2 linked regions of the Canis lupus familiaris genome follow. The protein of the gene in region 2 purifies or fractionates together with the protein of the main gene of each other region. This does not show direct contact. Links are inferred from orthologs where the notes say so. Each region holds a gene or a part of one and is shown on either strand. Other genes may lie near its edges.

The links. The genes of interacting proteins can lie anywhere in the genome.
Region 1: the proteins of RPLP0 (region 2) and RPLP1 fractionate together in Homo sapiens (co-fractionation; 5 studies listed by BioGRID and IntAct, with this or other methods). This does not show direct contact. The link is inferred for Canis lupus familiaris from reciprocal best matches to the Homo sapiens genes RPLP0 and RPLP1.

Annotation. Positions count from the first base shown.
Region 1 is NC_049251.1:33,773,780-33,783,986, forward strand, and holds RPLP1 (60S acidic ribosomal protein P1), read left to right. Parts: upstream 1-4,915; 5' UTR 4,916-5,051; coding exon 5,052-5,123; intron 5,124-5,766; coding exon 5,767-5,841; intron 5,842-7,438; coding exon 7,439-7,556; intron 7,557-7,770; coding exon 7,771-7,850; 3' UTR 7,851-7,890; downstream 7,891-10,207. UniProt on the Homo sapiens protein: Plays an important role in the elongation step of protein synthesis.
Region 2 is NC_049247.1:16,494,132-16,504,361, forward strand, and holds RPLP0 (60S acidic ribosomal protein P0), read right to left. Parts: upstream 6,346-10,230; 5' UTR 6,298-6,345; coding exon 6,244-6,297; intron 4,630-6,243; coding exon 4,454-4,629; intron 4,342-4,453; coding exon 4,254-4,341; intron 4,135-4,253; coding exon 3,988-4,134; intron 3,879-3,987; coding exon 3,693-3,878; intron 1,919-3,692; coding exon 1,778-1,918; intron 1,423-1,777; coding exon 1,261-1,422; 3' UTR 1,194-1,260; downstream 1-1,193.

The DNA.
Region 1 (10,207 bases), on a different chromosome or scaffold from region 2:
TGCTGCCTACAGGAAGCTCATTTCAACTTTTAAGACCAACACCGGCTCAAAGTGAAGGAATGGCAGAGGATATTCCAGGCAAGTGGAAAGCAAATGAAAGCAGGGGTAGCTATGCTTTTATCAGACAAAACAGAGGTCAAGCCTAAAAACAATAGAAAATATAAGGTCATCGTATAATGATAAAGGGGAAAATACATCAGGAAGATAAAACAGTAATAAATATATATGCACCCAACATTGCATCACCAAAATTTATTAAGCAAATACTAACATTCCAAAGGAGAAACAGACAATACAATAACAGTTGGGGACCTAGGTGCCCCTCTGTCAGCAATGAATAAATCATCCAGGTAGAAAATCAACAAAGAAACTGAACTACAGAACATAAGAACTTAATATTAGAGCATTCTAACCAACAGGGGCATAACACACATTCTTTTTCAGTGCACATGAAGTATTTTCCAGATCATATGATAGGGCACAAAACAAATCTCAGCAAATTTAAGAAAACAAAACAAATCAACTATCTTTTCTGACCATAATGGTATGAAACTAGGAATCAACAACAAAAGGGAGATTGAAAATTTAAAAATATGTGGAAACGACACAACATACTTTTGAATAACCAATGTGTCAAGAAATCAAAGGGAAACATTACCTTGAAACAAATGAAAATGGAAATATAGCATATCAAATCATAGAATGCAGTGAAAGTTCTGAAAGAAAAGCTTATAGGAATAAATGCATATGTTAAGGAATCAGAAAAATCACAAATAACCTTTCCCCTCAAAGAACTAGGAGAAACCAGCTCAAAGTTAGTGGAAGGAAGGAAATTATAAATACCAGAGCGACGGACGCCTGGTGGCTCAGCAGTTAAGCATCTGCCTTCCGCTCAGGGCATGATCCTGGGATCCGGGATCAAGTCCCACCTTGGGCTCCTTGAGGGGAGCCTGCTTCTCCCTCTACGTCTCTGCTTCTCTCTCTGTGTATCTCTCATGAATAAATTAATAAAATCTTATAAAAAAATCAGAGCGAAAATAAATGGAATAGAGACCAGAGAAATAGAAAGGATCAACAAAACTAAAAGTTCTTTAAAAAGGTAAGCAAAATCAACAGATCTTTAACCAGATTAAGATAAAAAAACTCAAAGAAGAAATGAAAAAGGACACATTACAACTGATACTACAGACATACATACATACTACTATGAAAAAATTGCATATCAACAAATTAGACACCCAGAAGAAATGGGTACGTTTCTAGAAACACACCATCAATCCACCAAGCCTAAGAAGAAATGAAATATCTGAAAGGATGAATAATGACTAGAGAGACTGAATCAGTAATCAAAACCCTCCCAACACAGAAAACCCCAGCACCAGATGGCTTCACCAGACCTTCAAAGAACAATTAACAGCAGTCCTTCTCAAACTCCTGCAAAGAAATGATGAGGCTGGGATACTTCCAAACTCATTATATAAGGTCAGATACCAAAGTGAGACCAGGACACAGCAAAAAAAACAGAAGTATCCCTAATGAATATAAATGGAAAAATTCTCTATGAAATATTAGCAAACTGAATTCAAGGACACAAAAAGAATTATACACCATGATCAGGTGGGATTTATCTCTGGGATGCAAGGATGGTTCAATATATGCCAATCAACAAATATATCACATTAATACAATGAAAGATAGGGGTACCTGGGTGGCTCAGGTCATGATCCCAGAGTCCTGGGATCGTGCCCCACGTGGGGGAGTCTGCTTCTCCATCTGACACCCCGGTGTTCTCCTGCAGACCTGTCCAATCCAACTGCCCCCAGGTGTCCCTCCAAAGTGACTCCTGTCCTAAGGCACGGTGGAAATAAGCTCATGCACCAACATGCCTACAGTTCCTGCAGCTGAGCCTCTCAGCTGACTGCACGGAGCAAGCCTTGGCTGTTGGTGTGCCCACAGCTGAGGCATATAGGCTAAGTGTAGACAGCTGGACTGTCAGTCCTGTCCACTAATGAAACCCACTGCTGCTGCAGAGGCCTCTCAACAGCGGGCAGTAAACTCTGAGGATGCCACAGCAGGCGGTGCAGCTAAGGGAAGCTAGCAGAGCTGAAGGCAATGGCAGCTCAGCCACAACACAGCCCACAAAGGGGACACCTCTTGAGCACCTGGTTCTGGTTACCATGGTGGGGGGTGGGGGGACTGCACTACAGGGCACCACAAGACCTTTTCTACACAAGGCCACTATTTTCAAGACCAGGAGATATAGCGGATTTACCTAATACACAAAACACAGACACAACGAGGAGACAAGGATATGTCCCAAATCAAAGAATAAGACAAAATCACAGTAAAAGAGCTAAATGAAACAGATAATACTCTTGATAAACAATGCAAAGTAATGGTCATAAAGATTCTCACTGGACCTGAGAAAAGACGGCTGTGACATCATCAAGTATAATAGTATTCACATCATGGAGTGCCAGAGAGAGAGAGAAAAGATAGAAAACTCATTTGAAGAAAAAACAGCTGAAAACTTCACCACTTAGGGGAAGGAAACAAACACCCAGGTTCAGAAAGGAAAGAGAGCCCCCAACAAGGTGAACACAGGAGGTCCACACTGAAACACATAATTAAAATGGCAAAAAGTGATGATAAAGACACAATTTTATTTTTTTATTTTTATTTATTTATTCATGAGAGCTACGGGGGGGGGGGGGGGGCAGAGACATAGGCAGAGGGAGAAGCAGGCTCCATGCAGGGAGCCATGCAGGGAGCTCCACGTGGGACTCGATCCCAGGACTCCAAGATCACGCCCTGGGCTGAAGGCAGATGCTCAACTGCTGAGCCACCCAGGGATCCCGATAAAGACACAATTTTAAAAGCAGAGAAGCAAAACAAGTTACGACGGAAAATCCCATAAAGCTATGAGCTGATTTGTCAACAGAAACTATGCAGGCCTGGGCAGCCCGGGTGGCTCAGCGGTTTAGCACCGCCTTCAGCCCAGGGTGGGATCCTGGAGACCTGGGATCAAGTCCCATGTCAAGCTCCCTGCATGGAGCCTGCTTCTCCCTCTGCCTGTGTCTCTGCCTCTCTCTTTCCCTAAGTCTCTCACTGAATAAATAAATAAATAAAATCTTAAAAAAAAAAAAAAAGAAACTATGCAGGCCAGAAGAAAGTGGCATGATATATTATTCAAAGGGCTAAAAGGAAAAAAAAAAAACAAGAATACTTCACTTAGCAAGGTTATTGCTCAGAAATGAAGGAGAGATTAAGCTTCCCAGACAAACAAAAGTTAAACTGGCCTAATAAGAAACGTTAAGGGGGATTCTTTAATTGGAAAAAGGCCATAACTAGAAGAAAATTATGAAAGGAAAAAATTTCACAACTAAAAACAAACATACAATAAAGGTAGTAGGTTTATCCCTTATAAAACCCATATGGAAGTTAAAACACAAAAGTAGTAAAATCAATTATATCTACAAAATTAGCCAAAGCATTCGCAAAATAAAAAGATGTGAAATACGACATCATATACATAAAATGTGAAGGGAGAGTAAAAATTTAGAGCTTTTAGAATGTGTTCAAACTTAATATAGACTGCAATATATATAAAATGTTATACATGAATCCAGTGGTGATCGCAAATCAAAAACCTGTAAGAGGGCAGCCCGGGTGGATCAGCAGTTTAGCGCTGCCTTTGGCCCAGGGTGTGATCCTAGAGGCCCAGGATTGAGTCCCACGTCGGGCTCCCTGCATGGAGCCTGCTTCTCCCTCTGCCTGTGTCTCTGCCTCTGTCTGTGTGTCCCTCATGAATAACTAAATAAAATCTTTAAAAAAAGAGAGAACAGATTGGTGGTTGCCAGAGGGAGGGATGGGATGGGCGAAGGGGGTAAAAAATTACAAACCTGAAGTTAAAAGTCACTGTGGGTGTAACGTACGACATGGTGACGATAGTTAATAGGACTGTGTGTCATATTTAAAGGCTGCCAAGAAAGCAGACCTTAAAAATGGCTATTTATGTATAGTGATGTATGTTAACCAAGACTTACCATTTTTGCAATACACACAAATAGCGAATCATAATGCTATACTCCGGAAATAAAAAATGTCATGTCAATCATACCTCAAAAAAAAAAAAATAAAAAAAGAAAGAAAAAGAAAGAAAAAGCCCAACAACTCTCAATACGAATCCAACACCGATTTTATTAAGTTTCAAAAGATACAAAGTGGCAATGCAGCACCTACACAGAGAGAGGTTGCTTCAACTCATCTTTGGTATCTTAAGGGCACGTTCGAGGCATTTCCACCCAAACACGGAGTGCCTTCGTTATACCAAATGCAACTGTCACGGAAAGCTCCCCTTCCTTCCCAGTAGATCCCTAATACGTAGGTCCCTAACAGTACTCACCCCCTGCGCTGTGCAAGGATGCGGGGAGTCCCGGCAGGCCGCGGCTCAGCGCCCGGGGCACGGTAGGCGCTCGGATGCTGCTGCTGCAGCTGCTGCAAGCTTCTCTTTTCCTCCTGCAGCTTTTTCTCTGGGACGTTGTCCTAAGCACCTGAGACCTCCCCGCAGACAGCTGCTGAGCTCCAGGTGCTCACAGCCCGCGGGGCGCGGGGGGGGGGGGGGGGGGGGGGGGGGGCCGCAGCCTGGTGACGTCATCAAACGTCCAAATAGCGTGACCCCGGATACACTACCTGGGGTGAACTCTATTTACTCAGGTCACTTTTTCCTAAAAGTATTTTTACTGTCTCAGGAGCCCCGAGTTTTACCCCAACCAAGAGAATTCGCAGCCGCAGGTGCCTGATAACCTCTTGACCCCGCTCACCAGCGTGTCGCGCTGTGTGCGCAGGCGCGTTCTCGCCCCGCCTCTTCCGCCAGGAGCGGGCGCCGATTGGTCCGTGGGATTCGTATAAGACGCTGCGCGCAGGCGCGGGACCTCCTTTCCTCAGCTGCCGCTAAGGTGCTCGGTCCTTCCGAGGAAGCTAAGGCCGCGTTGGGGTGAGGCCCTCACTTCAGCCGGCGACTAGCACCGCGCTCGGCACGCGCCCTCGCCATGGCCTCCGTCTCGGAGCTCGCCTGCATCTACTCGGCCCTCATCCTGCACGACGACGAGGTGACGGTCACGGTGAGTGCGGGCCCGGGCGGGCGTCGGCCTGCGGCCGGCCGCTTTCCGTGCGCTGGCGGGGCGCCCTGCTAGGCCCTTCCGGACGAAGCCGCGGCCATCGGCGTCCCGGCGGCGGTGCGGGCGGCCCACGTGCGTGCGTACGTGCGTGCTTACGTGCATGCGGGCCCCTGTGCGTGCCGGCGGGCGGTGCGGGTGGGCCCACGTGCGTGCCGGCGGGCGGTGCGGGCGGGCCCGCGTGCGTGCGTGCCCACGTGCGTGCTGGCTGGCGGGGCGGGCGGGCCCACGTGCGGGCGGGCAGACATCCTGACCCGTTTGCCCGGACGGCCTCCCCGGGCCAGGCTGCGGGATGCGGATGGAGCGCACGTCAGCTTGCTGCACCTGCCGCCCTGCGAGGTGCCCGGCACGCGGGGGCCGCTGCGTCTCCGGTGATCTAAGGGTCATGAGAAATTTTTCGTTTTAAATAAACGTACGCGAAATACAGACACAGTATTTGGTGCGGTTAAACGTGGTTTCTGGACACACGTTTTGAGTGATTTACTTTCAGTTGTAGTGGTTTGGAGACGTTTCCGAAAACTGCGCTTTGCTTGCTCGTGGAATGCGGGTTTTTTTTTTTTTTTTTTAACTTTTTAAATTATTTTTTTAGGAGGATAAGATCAATGCCCTCATTAAAGCAGCGGGTGTGAATGTTGAGCCTTTCTGGCCGGGTTTGTTTGCAAAGGTAAGGAAATGGCAGTAGAGTGATTTGGAGAAGCAGACTTGGGGAGATCAGGGATTTACAAAGTCAGGTGTACTTGTAACACGAGAACGGCTCATAGTTCCATATCTAGAGTCTAAAATTTGTCTTTAACTTCCTTTTTTTTTTTTTTTTTTTTTTAAAGATTTATTTATGAGAGATGCAGAGAGAGAGAGGCAGAAACACAGGCAGAGGGAGAAGCAGGCTCCATGCAGGGAGCCCAATGCAAGACTCGGCCCCGGTCTCCAGGGCCACGCCCTTGGCCGAAGGCAGGGGCTAAACCGCTGAGCTACCCCACACGTCCCCCTGTCTTTTCCTTGTTTGCAGTCTGGTTTCTTTTTCCTTCTGTTCTGAAATCATGACACACACACATATATATGTACATGTATACATAAATGTTACACACCCACCGGATGACTCCTTAAAAGAGTCACCCAGGAGGTAATACTGCCTATGCCCTTCCATTCTTCTTTTTAAATACATAACAATTTTATTGATCCATCAGAAAAAAATAAAAGTACAGTGTAACTTGCATCCCCACTGGGGCTAAATTAGCCCTTAAGCACAGATTATGATTCTTAAGTGCTGATTCTTCTCAATGTCCAAAGTTAATTTTTAATCAAGGATTTCTCCTGGAAATAAGATTTTAAATCGTTTTTCATTCGCATTAGGATAACCATTGAGATCGGCGTCCTGTATTATATGTAAGAAGAGGAATATTGTATGAGAGCTAGGACTCCCATTAGTTCATAGCTAATTTGTGCGACAATGAAATGGTAAAAACAGCAGTGACAGGCCCCAGAGATGAGTGTCCAACTGCCCCTACAGAGACATGGTCATGAATTGGTGTGAACCAGGGGCAGAGCTGTCCCTTATAAAATTGTCAAACTCTTTAACCTCATGAACATTTAGATCTCAGAACCGGGTTTCATGGAAATTGGATGTAGTGGCCCTTATTTTGAACATTGACTGTTGGGATATATATCAAAAGATCAATGAAGACAAGATTCTTACCCAAGGAACTTGGTATCATTTTCTATTACATATTATTTAGTCTCTGGTAAGAGGCAATTAGCTTTGTCTCTCCAGGTTGTGTCCTCCAAAGAGCTTTGAATGATTGAAAACATTGTACTTTCAATAAAGGTACTCCTCTTTAGTAAAGTCCCTGGACTTCGCAGTCTGAAAAATTGAATTCACTCTTAAGATGTGGAACTGGAAAGAATCTTGGTTTGAGTATTTAAGGAAGCTTGAGTTTTTTTGCCAACAACTGAAGCCAGCATTTTGCGGCCAGTTTTTCTCCTCTATAAAAGGAAGGAATTCAGTTACTCTAAGATTTTAAGCTTGAGTAGGTTTTCTTGTGATTAGTTTTTAATATAGCTCTGTGTCCCTAAGTCCTAGGAAATCTCAGCAGACAAAATGTCACTGGCAGATTGCAGCAAAGGAGAAGGAAGGGCAATGTAGTGTTGGGGATTGATTGCTGTCAGTTCAAAAGGGAGGTAAAGGTTACCTCCCTTTAGAGGTGGGAGGTTTGTAACAACAAAAGGCCAGAACTGAGTGTAATCTGTTTGCACGTGTGTTGCAGGCCCTGGCCAACGTGAACATTGGGAGCCTCATCTGCAATGTAGGAGCTGGTGGACCTGCCCCAGCAGCTGGCGCTGCGCCAGCAGGAGGTCCTGCTCCTTCCACCGCTGCTGCCCCAGGTAGAAAACTTTTTTGGTATTGGAGGGAGGAGCGTGGAGATTAAGAGCAATCCTGTCTGTAATACTTAGTTTGCTAAAAGAGTAGACGATAGAAATCCTAAAACCAGGGACATAGTTGGAAGTCTTGGGTATTTTTGACCATGTAAATTGAAGGGCCTGGAGCTCGTTGGAGTTTAAAATACTGACAAGGTGTGTTATTGTTTTTGTTTTTTAGCTGAGGAGAAAAAAGTGGAAGCCAAGAAAGAAGAATCTGAGGAGTCTGATGATGACATGGGCTTTGGTCTCTTTGACTAAACTTTTATAAGCTGCTCAATAAAAAGCTGAAGTCCTGGTTGCTGTCGGTTTTTCAGTTGTTTGAGGATGTTCTGTGTAAGGGTGATCTCATTTCTGCAACACTGGTTTTTAGCCTTTATTGGTATGACGCCAGCTGAGTTTACCCCCCTGCCATCACCTCATGGTGAGGAATAGTACACCAGCCAGGTGCTGCACCAAGAATGTACCTAATACTGCCTCTAGAACTGCATGGAGAGGTAGGAGAAGGGCAGATGCCTTGTCAGGGTCACCTTGAGTTCATGATAACCAGGTCTGTCCCTTTTGACAGGAATAAGAGTCAGTGGTAGTGGTGGTACAATCAAGGCCTCTTAAATCCCAAGTATAGGGGATCCCTGGGTGACTCAGCGGTTGAGGATCTGCCTTCGGCCCAGGGTGTGATCCTGGAGTCCTGGGATCAAGTCCCACACCAGGCTCCCTGCATGGAGCGTTTCTCCCTCTACCCGTGTCTCTTGTCTCTCTCTGTGTGTCTACAGAATAAATAGATAAAATCTTAAAAATCCCAAGTAGGGATCCCTGGGTGGCGCAGCGGTTTGGCGCCTGCCTTTGGCCCAGGGCGCGATCCTGGAGACCCGGGATCGAATCCCACATCGGGCTCCCAGTGCATGGAGCCTGCTTCTCCCTCTGCCTGAGTCTCTGCCTCTCTCTCTCTCTGTGACTATCATAAATAAATAAAAATTTAAAAAAAAAAATCCCAAGTATAATTCTGGCTACTGGCTACAAATTTTTGAGCTATGCTGAACCATCTGAAGTGGAATACTGATATATCCCTGGGTTTATAATTCAGCAATACTGTGAAGGAGTAGTGGAAATTCAGGTTTGAGTCCCCATTTACAGAGACTAAAACTAATTCAAACCTGTATTTGACTTAAGTAGGGTTTAGGGAAGGGGGTGGCTGAGCACTGGTGTGGAGACTGGTTCACTTTGAAATGTCAGAGGAACCCCTATTTGGACTTATAAAAAAGTCCTCAGAGCAATTAGTGCCAGGCATCTGAACATCTAACCCTTTCCTCTGTCTCCCAGTTTTAAGAGAGACCAGGAGTTGATGAAAAGACTTCGTAGCCCCAACTGTCCTCCAGTGAAAGATGTATAAGACCATTAGTGTTAAGTTACACCACCACATGGGTAAGTAGCTGGTGTACCTTACAAAATTGAACACCTAATCCAGCAGTTCTGTTCCTATAATTACCCAAGAGGAAGTATGGACATCTGGGTGCATCTCTGGGAATGTTAAAAGCAGTGTTTGAAAGCAAAAACCTCAAAGATCCATCAACCAGAAAACCAGTGATCCCAAATTATCAGCAGAGAAAGTGAGCTATGGATATAGAAGAATTCTTAAGGTTTAGATGTTACTGGTATTCAAGTTTTGGAGTTTTCATGTATTAGAATCCTTTGAGCATGTGAGGAATGGGTCATAAAGTGATTGTGGGGGTTCCCAGATGGTTAGGTAGAGCATGCAGCTCTGATCTTGGGGTTAAGAGTTCTAAGCCCCACGTTGGGTGAAGAGCTTAAGTACTTAATTTTCCTCCATCAGCTAATAGTGCTGTGCTGATCTCAAGCATGTCCTGTCCTCTGCACAACAATCCCATGGTAAGACCATGTCATGGGTCAGAGGTTAACTTGAGGTAAAGGCTAGTAAATGAGTGGAAGGATTCAGACAGGCTCCGACTGCTCCTCTCCCGGTGCCTCTGCTCCTTTCTCCTGTCCTGTGTCTAAGGACAACACCTGCCTCACTGGGTTCTAGAGATCTGAGATGACAGGAATTGTGCCTGGTGAGCCCTGAAGTGTCAGAAGGGAATATGGACACTTAGCCAAGGAAATATTTTGAACGGATTAAAGAACACTTAAGAAGATAAAGGAAAACTGTATCTAGAACAGCTGAAAATTAAGTGGTAAATTGGGATATAAGTATCAAGTTCAGTTATCCAAACTACAATGAAAATGTTTTCTGTAATACTCAAGTGGTAACATGGCCTCATGGGTGGGTCTAGCTTTCGAAAAGAAATCTTTTAAATGTAAAAATCTAAATACCTTTCTAAAGAATGATATTCAAACAAGGAGATCCACTTACATGTGTAGAGATGCTAACATTCATTTGATTTTGAATTATAAAGTCTGCCCAGGAGACCCTGGGTGGCCTAGTGGTTGAGCATCTGCCGTTGGCTGAGGTGATCCCGGAGTCCTGGGATCGAGTCCCGCATCGGGTTCCCCATAGGGAGTCTGCTTCTCCCTCTGCCTGTCTCTGCCTCTATATCTTTATATATATATATATATATATATATAAGTCCGCCCAGTTATACTCCCCTTTTAGTTTCCCTGAC
Region 2 (10,230 bases):
TGTAATGCGGGGAGACCGCCCCGTAGCCTCCGACCCGCCTTCCCGGACTCCCCCACGTGGACCTGTACTGAGTGAAGACCACATCCTTTAGAGCAGAGTTTTAGATGGCAGAACTGACCCAGTAAAAGGGACACCTCCATCTACCATCTTCTCCCGAGCTGGTAACCCAGGGGTGGACGACCCAGCAGCTAGGGACCAAGGGGCGGTCTGGCTGCCAGCGGAGGATCCGGATGAAGAGGGGCCTGTCCAGGCAGAAGCCTGCCGGGCTGGGGAGTTGAAGGCAAGGCCATAGAGTGGGAGGCGGACATTGGGAAAGGGCCTCACCGTCCACAGGGCACGGTCTGAATTTTCAGTGTATGGATGGGCCAACTACATACTAATGTAGGGAAGGGGGTCTGGGGATCCCTGGGTGGCGCCGCGGTTTGGCATCTGCCTTCGGCCCAGAGCACGGTTCTGGAGTCCCAGGATGGAGTCCCGCGTCGGGCTCCCTGCATGGAGCCTGCTTCTCCCTCTGCCTGTGTCTCTGCCTCTCTCTCTCATAAATAGATGAATAAAATCTTAAAAAAAAAAAAAAAAAAAGGGAAGGGGGTCTGCACAGCTTAGCTCTTGGCCCTCTTAGCAGTGGCCTCCAAACCATAGTCAGAAACCCAGTTACAACAAATACCTTTACATCAGGACCCAGGTACATATTTCTAATCAGAAGGAAAACACCTACCCATGCAGCAATCACGTTTTATCTTAGTCACCACCTCTCAAGAATTGGATCTCCATGGTTAGATAATGCACTGGCATCATCTCAACGGACACTACACCTACTCAAAAGTATCTTAGAGGGACGTAGGCTAGTAGCCGGATGGCCATGGAAATAAGAAATCTGGTATCATAGAAAGAGTTAGGGGCACTGGCTGCTCTGTCAGTGGAGCATGCACCTCTTAATCTCTGGGTTGTGAGTTTGATCTGAGTTGGGATTAAGAGATTAAAAATAAAATCCTTAGAAAATAGTTAAAGCTGGGTGGTACTGAATGCTGGGAAAGCAGCACCTCACTTAATTACAAAAAGAACACTGGAAAGAAAAAAAAAAGGAAAGAAACATCCACTTCAAATAAAGCTCTACTGCTCTACCATGGCTCTAATGTCTAGTATACAGCACTGTAAACCTCAACAAGTACAAAATGAAAAGTTCAGAGACTTTTAAGAGAAGTAAGCCTTTATTTCCTTGTTTCACAAATAAACTTGGCTGAATTGGTTGCTTTTTGGTGATTAGTCAAAGAGACCAAATCCCATATCCTCGTCCGATTCCTCCGACTCTTCCTTTGCTTCAACCTTGGCTGGGGCTGCGGCAGCAGCAGGTGCAGCAGTGGTGGCAGCAGCCACAGGAGCAGCAGCCACAAATGCAGATGGATCAGCCAAGAAGGCCTTGACCTGAAGCAAGCAGAAAAGTTCATGATCAAAATGGTCACCCACAACCCCTACTAACCACAACCCCTCAGCTCTAGCTCAATGGCCAACAACTTCTAAGCCACTGAAGCCTTCCCCAGAAATGATCAGGCAAGACAGCTTGAGTATGGCCTGGTAAGTCTTAAGCCCCACTCTTATCCATCAACTAACCTCTTCCAGTCTCCTGTCATTTTTAAAGTCCAGGACACACCTCCCTGCTCCCAGCTTAAGTATACTCTTAAAAACGTATCTGCTTTGTAAAATACGATTAAAGCACAACTCCACACACTGCCATCCATTTATCCCATTTAAGGCCACTGTGGTCCTAGTGGGTTTTTACCTTTTCAGCAAGTGGAAAGGTGTAATCAGTTTCCACAGACAAAGCCAGGACCCGCTTGTATCCATTGATGATAGAATGGGGCACTGATGCAACAGTCGGGTAACCTATCTGCAGACATACGCTGGCAACGTTGCGGACACCCTAGAGAGAGGAAGAAATTACATTTCATTTTAAAAAAAAAATTTTTAAAGACTATTTATTAAAGAGAAGACACAGAGAGAGAGAGAGAGAGAGAGAGAGAGAGAGACGGAGACACAGAGGGAGAAGCAGGTTCCATGCAGGGAGCCCAATGTGGGACTCGATCCCAGGTCTCCAGGATCAGGCCCTGGGCTGAAGGTGGCGCTAAACCGCTTAGCCACCTGGGCCGCCCAGAAATTACATTTCAATTGAGGTATCTATCTTACAGACAAGACCGTGAAGCTCAAGCAAAGTTCAACAGCAGATAAGACTTCAAGACTGACTTGCTGTGTCTCACACCAAATGCTCCTGGCAAGGCAATTCAGACCCAGTAATTCATAAACATTTTTTGCCCTTACTCTAAACAGGAGTATTTCATACACCACAATGATGGCATTTACTTCAACAGTCCCCATTCTGTCATCATTCAGTTCCATGAGAAAAAAAAAGTTAAGCTAATTCCGATGAGAATTTCATCCACCATGAAATTTCCAAAAACAGCAGTATACATAACTGCAAATTTTTCATTTGTCCAAGAAAAGGAATTACATCTTTCATCACCTTACTTATCCATTTAAAAAATTTTTAATGGGGATCCCTGGGTGGCGCAGCGGTTTGGCGCCTGCCTTTGGCCCAGGGCGCGATCCTGGAGACCCGGGATCGAGTCCCACATCAGGCTCCTGGTGCATGGAGCCTGCTTCTCCCTCTGCCTGTGTCTCTGCGCCTCTCTCTCTCTGTGACTATCATAAATAAATAAAAAATTAAAAAAAAAAATTTTAATGCCGATGCCTGGGTGGCTCAGCAGTTGAGCGTCTGCCTTCAGCTCAGGATATGATCTCAGTTCTGGGATCGAGTCCCGCATCGGGATCCTGTATGGAGGCTGTTTCTCCTCCAGCTGCCTATGTCTCTGCCTCTCTGTCTCTCATTAATAAACAAAACCTTAAAAAAATTTTAATGGTAAAATTTTTTTTTTATTTTAAAGATTTATTTATTTACTCATGAAGACAGAGAAAGAGGCACAGACACAAGCAGAGGGAGAAGCAGGCTCCCTACAGGGAGCCCAATTCGGGACTCAATCCCGGATCCCGGGATCACGCCCTGAGCTGAAGGCGGACTCTCAACCGCTGAGCCATCCAGGTGTCCCTAATGGCAAAATCTAAGCAAACTAATCTCAGGTAAAGTCAGTTCTCCCCAGAGTGCTTGGCAACAACATTTATGTATCACACAGTCCTCACTTTTCTTTCTTCTTTACCTCAGGATACTACTCAAAAATTCCATGTTTTATTGCAGTCGCTAGAATAACAACGGCCCTCACTTCGTGCCCAGAGCTGCTAGAAAGCTTTCTATTCGTTATTTCTTTAAATCCGGGACGCCTGGGTGGCTCAGTGATTGAGCATCTGCCTTTGGCTCAGGGTGTGATCCTGGGATCATGGATGAGTCCCACACTGGGCTCCCTATGGGGAACCTGTTTCTCCCACTGCCTATTTCCCTGCCTAGGTCTCTCAGGAATAAATAAATCTTTTTAAAAAAAAAAAAAACAACAAACCAAACTCTTTAAAACTTCAACAACCTTATATTATTTTTATATTATTGCTGTTCTACAGATGAGGTAACTAAACAGATTAAATAACCATCTTGATTATGCGGCTGATTTCAGCTGCACAGCCGGAATCCAGTCTGAAGCTAGCCATACTCTCAACCATTAATGTACCAAGGGCCTGAAATGGACAGCTTGTACCTCCAAGAAGCGAGAATGCAGAGTTTCCTCTGTGATGTCAAGCACTTCAGGGTTGTAGATGCTGCCATTATCAAACACCTGCTGGATGATCAGCCCAAAGGAGAAGGGGGAGATGTTCAGCATGTTGAGCAGTGTGGCTTCGCTGGCTCCCACTTTGTCTCCGGTCTTAATCAGCTGCACATCACTCTGAAGAACAAGTAACAGTGGGCGGTCAACACCTGAACAGCCAGCAGGTCCACAGCAACCAAGCCCCCACCACTTGCCTGGCTAGCACTGGCCAGCCAAGTCCACTCACCAAGATTTCAATGGTGCCCCTAGAGATCTTAGTGGTAATGCCTAAAGCCTGGAAGAAAGAGGTCTTCTCGGGCCCCAGACCTGTGTTCTGGGCTGGCACAGTGACTTCACATGGAGCTATGGCACCAGCACGGGCAGCAGCAGGAACCTGAAGGGAAACAATATTAATTAGTCTCCTCTCCACAAATACAAGCTGAAAATGGTCAATTTTCCTTGTAAGAAGCAAAATTAATTACGAGACTCTAGCCAACCTGATTATCTTCTTACCTTATTGGCCAGCAGCATGTCCCTGATCTCAGTGAGGTCCTCCTTGGTGAATACAAAGCCCACATTCCCCCGGATATGAGGCAACAGTCTGCAAAGAAAGTTTGCAAGAGAGTGTCACCATTCAGTACTGATTCTTCTCTGGGAAAGGGGAGAAGGGTACCGAGAAAGGAGGACAAAGATGCCCAGGAGAATGAACTGACTTCTCCAGGGCTGGGTTGTTCTCCAGATGCCCTCGGATGGCCTTGCGCATCATGGTGTTCTTGCCCATCAGCACGACAGCCTTCCCGCGGAGGGACATGCGGATCTGCTGCATCTGCTTTGAACCCACATTGTCTGCTCCCACAATGAAGCATTTTGGATAATCATCCAAAAGTTGCTACAAAGACAAGCCAGAAACAATGTTTAGCAGGAGGAAAGAGAAACATCAAGAAAAACCAAACCCCATAATCACCGGCTTCCATCTCACTCCCTTCCTTCTAGGCTTTTTAAGTGACTCAGAAATTGGGACAAGTCCTCCCACTGGGAGCTATGAGTTGTAAAACTGTCAAATTTATCAAAGATTTGTACACTGAGTACGAATAGTGAAAATGAAGTTTCTAATTCAATCCCCCAATTTTTTTTTTTTTATCGTAACATTCATTTTTGCGGCACCTGCATGGCTCAGTTAAGCGTCTGCCTTTGCCTCAGGTCATGATCCCAGGGTCCCTGCATTGGGCTTCCTGTTCATGCTCTCTCACTCACCCTCAAATTTTTTTTAGACTTTATTTATTCATGAGAGAGAAACAGGCAGAGACAGAAGCAGAGGGAGCAGCAGCCTCCATGCATGAAGCCCGATGTGGGACTGGATCCCGGGATCTCACTCTGAGCCAAAAGGGCGAGATCCTGGGATCTCAAGATAATCTTCCCCAATTTTTAGGGATTCATTAAATGGCTGCATCAACAACAACAACAACAAAAAAGCCATTCCAAAAAAGGTAGGCTTACTGCAATAAACAAATACCAATAAAACAAACAACAAAACGCTACCTGCAGGATCTAGATTGTGGATATGGGACTACTGGACAATTCTTTTAAGTTTTCTGTGTCTGAAAACTTTCATGATAAATAGGGTAGAAGAGACTAAGCTCCACAAGGCAGCCTAATGCCTGCAAAACAGGATGGTCTGCATTTCTGGGCAGGGAGGATTCCCCCACCCTCAAGACCATCCGTGAAAACACATTAACGGGATTTTTTTTTTTTTTTTTTTAAAGATTTGAGGATCCCTGGGTGGTGCAGCAGTTTGGCGCCTGCCTTTGGCCCAGGGCGGGATCCTGGAGACCCGGGACCGAATCCCACGTCGGGCTCCCGGTGCATGGAGCCTGCTTCTCCCTCTGCCTATGTCGCTGCCTCTCTCTCTCTCTCTCTCTCTCTCTCTAGGACTATCATAAATTAAATAAATAAATAAATAAATAGGATTTGAGAAAAAGGTGCACTCAGGAGCAGGGAGGGGCTGAGGGCCAAGCAAACCCCCCACTGAGCAGGGAGCCCCAAGCTGGGCTAGTACCCAGGACCCTGGGATCATGATCCCAGCGGAAGAAGGCAGATGCTTAACTGTCTGAGCCACCCAAGTACCCATGAGGTGTTTGGTATCGTGATAAGACCTAATATGCAACAAGTTACCACTTTATAATGAGTCACTCATTGGCTCAGGCGTTCCCAAAACGGGGGCAGAGGAGCATTTAGTATAAATGCTATTTGGAAGCCAGACAGACCACAGTATGAATGCTGTCATCTTAGGAGCCACTCAACCTGCCTGAGCCCATTTACCTGCAACAAGGAGGGGAGAAGGCGCAGATCTCCGCACACTGCGAAAATTAAACGAGATTTGCCTAAAATGGTCATTTAGTAGCCGGTACCCAGGAGATGCTCAACACCCGACAGCTCACGGTCCCTGTCAGTGCCCAGGGCCCAAGCAGCAAAACGGGTTACCGCGACCCATCTCCGCACTTACGATGATCTTAAGGAAGTAGTTGGATTTCCAGGTCGCCCTGTCTTCCCTGGGCATCACGGCGGTGCGTCAGGGATTGCCACGCAGGGTTTAAAGACGATGTCACTGCGGGGAGAGAGGGAGCTCAGACAGCCCTCGACACCCGTCACCTCGGCCCCACCGGGCTCCAAGCCCGAGGCCTATGCGGGGCGGGCCACACGTGAGCGCGCGCCCGCCCGCCCGCCCGGCTCGGGGTTGCCGCCGCCGCCGCCACTCGGGGAGCGCAAGCCCCCGCCGAGGCCCCAGGCCCAAGAGCCCTGGGCCCGGCCCCTCCCGTGATCTCACAAAGAGCCCCCCCCATCTCCCCGCGGCCCGGGCCCGGACCGACGGCAGCGGCCACACGAACCTCCCACGAGGACGCCTGGAGAGAGGAGGGCCGCGCGCCGGCGCACACCTTTTATATGTGAGCCGAGCGGCCAATCAAAAGACCCAGACAGTCTCCCCACCCCTTAGCTGGCGCCGACGTCTGCCTGGTGACGCCACCCTGAGGTCGGCAGCCATTGGACGATGGTGCTGCCACTCTAGACAACGGGAAGCCGCCTTTAAACCAAGCGGTTAAGGAAGACGCTGTTTCCTGTTGGAGGAGCCGGCTCCAAGCTGCTGCCCTCTGCTGGGCTGGAGGTGCTCGGGTGCAAGGGCTAGAGCTCGCGAGCTGAGCGCTGTTTCCGCCTGCCCCCTGGCCAAACCGCAAACTGAAAAGAATACTATGTGGAACTGAGGAATAATTGCACATGCTTTTTAGAAACAGCATGGTCTCTTGTCTACTTGACAATTTGTTCTTCTCCCTACCAAAACGGAGGAACCCTTTGAAACCTAAGTCACGGGCCGCCCGGGTGGCTCAGCGGTTTAGCGCCTGCCTTGGGCCCAGGGCGTGACCCTGGAGACCTGGGATCGAGTCCCACGTCGGGCTCCCTGCATGGAGCCTGCTCCTCCCTCTGCCTGTGTCTCTGCCTCTCTCTCTGTCTCCCATGAATAAATAAATTATTTAACAACAACAACAACAATAATAACAACAACAAAAAAAAGCCAAGTCAGGGGCACCTGGGTAGCTCAGTCGGTTAAGTGCTTTAGGCTCTAGTCATGATCCTGGGGTCCTGGGATCCAGCTGCGCATGGAGCTCCCTGCTCAGCGGGGAGCCTGCTTCTGCCGCTCCTTCCTGTTTCTGCTCTCTAATAAATAAATAAAATCTTTACAAAATAAATAAAACCTAAGTCAGATCATTACCTCATCTGCTCAAAATTCCTCAAAGGTTTCCCATTTCCTCAGTATAAAAGCCTAAAACTTAAACTGCGTACGATCTGCTCTGGACCTCCCCCTCTGTAATCTCGACTCTTTTCCTCCTGACTCATTCCCTTCCAGCCTGTCGAGGCTCTTTGCGTTTTTCCAAAGCATGCTCCCACTTGAGGGGTCTTGCACTAGCTAGTGCCTCTTCCTGGAAGGCTTGCTGACATTCATAAAAGTAACTCAACTTCATCAAGTCTTGGCTCAAATATCATGTGTTCAAAGGAGCCCTACCCTAATTGCCCTGTTTAAAATTACCCAAAAAATCCACTACCACTCCTCCCTTAACTCTGCTCTATTTTTAAGGTAGCACTTACACCTTTTTCTTCTTTTTTTTTTAGCACTTACATCTTGTAACAGTGTATAATTTACTATGTTGTTAGTTGTCTGTCTCTCACTGCGGGAATGCAGGCTTCCCAAAGCAGAGCCATTTGTCTTGTGCCTGGCACATAGCAGGCATATAACAAATATTTATTGAGTGAATGAATGCAAGGTTTGCAGTCAGAAGACCTAGATCCTTCTTCTACCACTTGCTAACTGTGTAACTGTGTCCATCCTAGGAAGCGATTGATTGATTTTTAAGATTTTATTTATTTATTTATTCATGAGAGACACACAGAGAGAGGCAGAGACAAGCAGCCTCCTCACAGGGAGCCTGATGCAGGACAATCCTTGGACTGGGATCACTCCCTGAGCCAAAGGCAGACACTCAACCACCAAGCCACTCAGGTGTCCCTTAGGAAGTAATTTCATCTTGCTGACCCTCCGTTTCCCTTTCCTTAACTGTAAAAATGGGAGTAATGAAGTATCCCCATTCTAGAGTTGCTATGAGGATTAAATGAGATATGTGTTAAGACTTAATATAGTCCCTGGAATGTAGGCAGAAATCACTAAATTCTTGTTTCTTTTATTATACATTCATTCAACACTTATTTGAATATTTGTGCTATATCTATATATCTATATCTATATGTTTTTTTGGTAATGATTGAGGTAGATTCTAGGCCTGAAGGAGTGTTTCTATCTTCACCCTTTCAAGTTAGAAATTTCTGTGTTTTTCAAAGCTTCTGATGTTGCTTCTGGTGACCAGCTGTTTAGAGAACTGTTAGAGTCAATTACTGCTAAGATCTTTTTTTTTTAAGATCTCTTTTTAATGACAATATATTACTGCATGCTCAGCATTGCACTAAGTACTTTGTCCACATTACTGCTGTGAATCCTTGCAACAATTCCCTGAGGAGGTACAGTATTAGCATTTCCGTTCATCAATGATAAAATTCACAGAGAGGTTAAACAACTTGCTCAAGCCCCAATAAACACTGACTTGGGAAATGAAATCTAGGAGCAAGTTCAAAGCCCATGGGCTTCATGATGCTATACATTGCCTTCTAAATTCTGAGGCTGTCTCTCCCTAAATGCCCTTTTTCAACTATATACATACTCACATGGTACCTTTCCAAGGACATCCTGGCTCTCATGATATAAATATCTCTAATTGTAGTACATCAATATAATGGAACATCATGAAGCCATTAAAAAATGATGCAGGTCTCTATTTATTGACATGGGAAAATACTCACAAAGTACAGTTGAGTGAAAAAGCAAATTACAGTGAAACATGCCATATCCATTTCTATAAATAAAATGAATTCAACATGGTCCAGAAGAATAAACCATCAGCACTTTCAGTGATGGTCGAAGGTACTTTCCACTTGAGTGCACCGTGAAATGGCCAAGATTCCAACTAAAATTCAACATGCTGCTTTTGGAAAACCATTCTAGAGAACGGAGAAATTATGAAGCATCTCAAAGGGGAACAATGCTATCCAGGAAGCTCCTGAGGCTCAGGACTATAGCATGCAAATATGGATACGACCACCAGGGGGCAGAAAAGACCCACCCTCAAATGTAAATTTGCCAACTTCCGCTGGGAAGGTTCCACACCCAAGGTGTAGTGCCAGCACGTGGGGTGGGGGGTGTCTGGCCAAAGCAGGAACACAGGCAGAGGCAAGCCCCGGGTTCACATCCTGCCTCTGTGCTCACTCAGGACCGTTTTGTGCATGTCAGTTCTCTTCTCTGAACCTCTTTCCGGAGCTGTAAATAAGGGTGAGGCCACCCACAGGCCCACCTGAGGGTGCCCTCAGCAAGTCTACAAGCAAAGCACTAGGGCAGGGCCTGAGCCACACAAGGCCCAACAACACTGTTCCCCCTGCTTTTCCTCACCAGCTGCTGGAGAAATGCAAAGCTCACACAGGAATCCCATCCCCCAGGGCTGTCTGCCTCAAAGAAGGGAACATCACTGAGTTACCTTCAATATGGTCCCCCTGAGTCTGGGGAGGGTTTGGTCTCTCTTCTGGTACTAAGTTGCTACCTCAGACTGCCAAGAAAAGGAACTAGGCATGGGTGAAAATAATGGCAAACTTTATTGGCATAAATCACAGGAATTGACATGGGGAAAAGCCAGGTTAGAAGTTTACAGAGAAAAAAATAAAATCAAATCAAATAACCATTGACCCAGAGGGTGGACCCCAGACACCCCAGTCCCCCTAGGGGAGGGGCCTGGGGCAGGTCACTGTAAACAGAGCAATAAGGCTTATGGGTGGAGTGGAGTTATCAGACCTTTGGAGGGGCCTGGCTGACCTCCTCAGACCGGGGCTGCTTCCAGTCCTG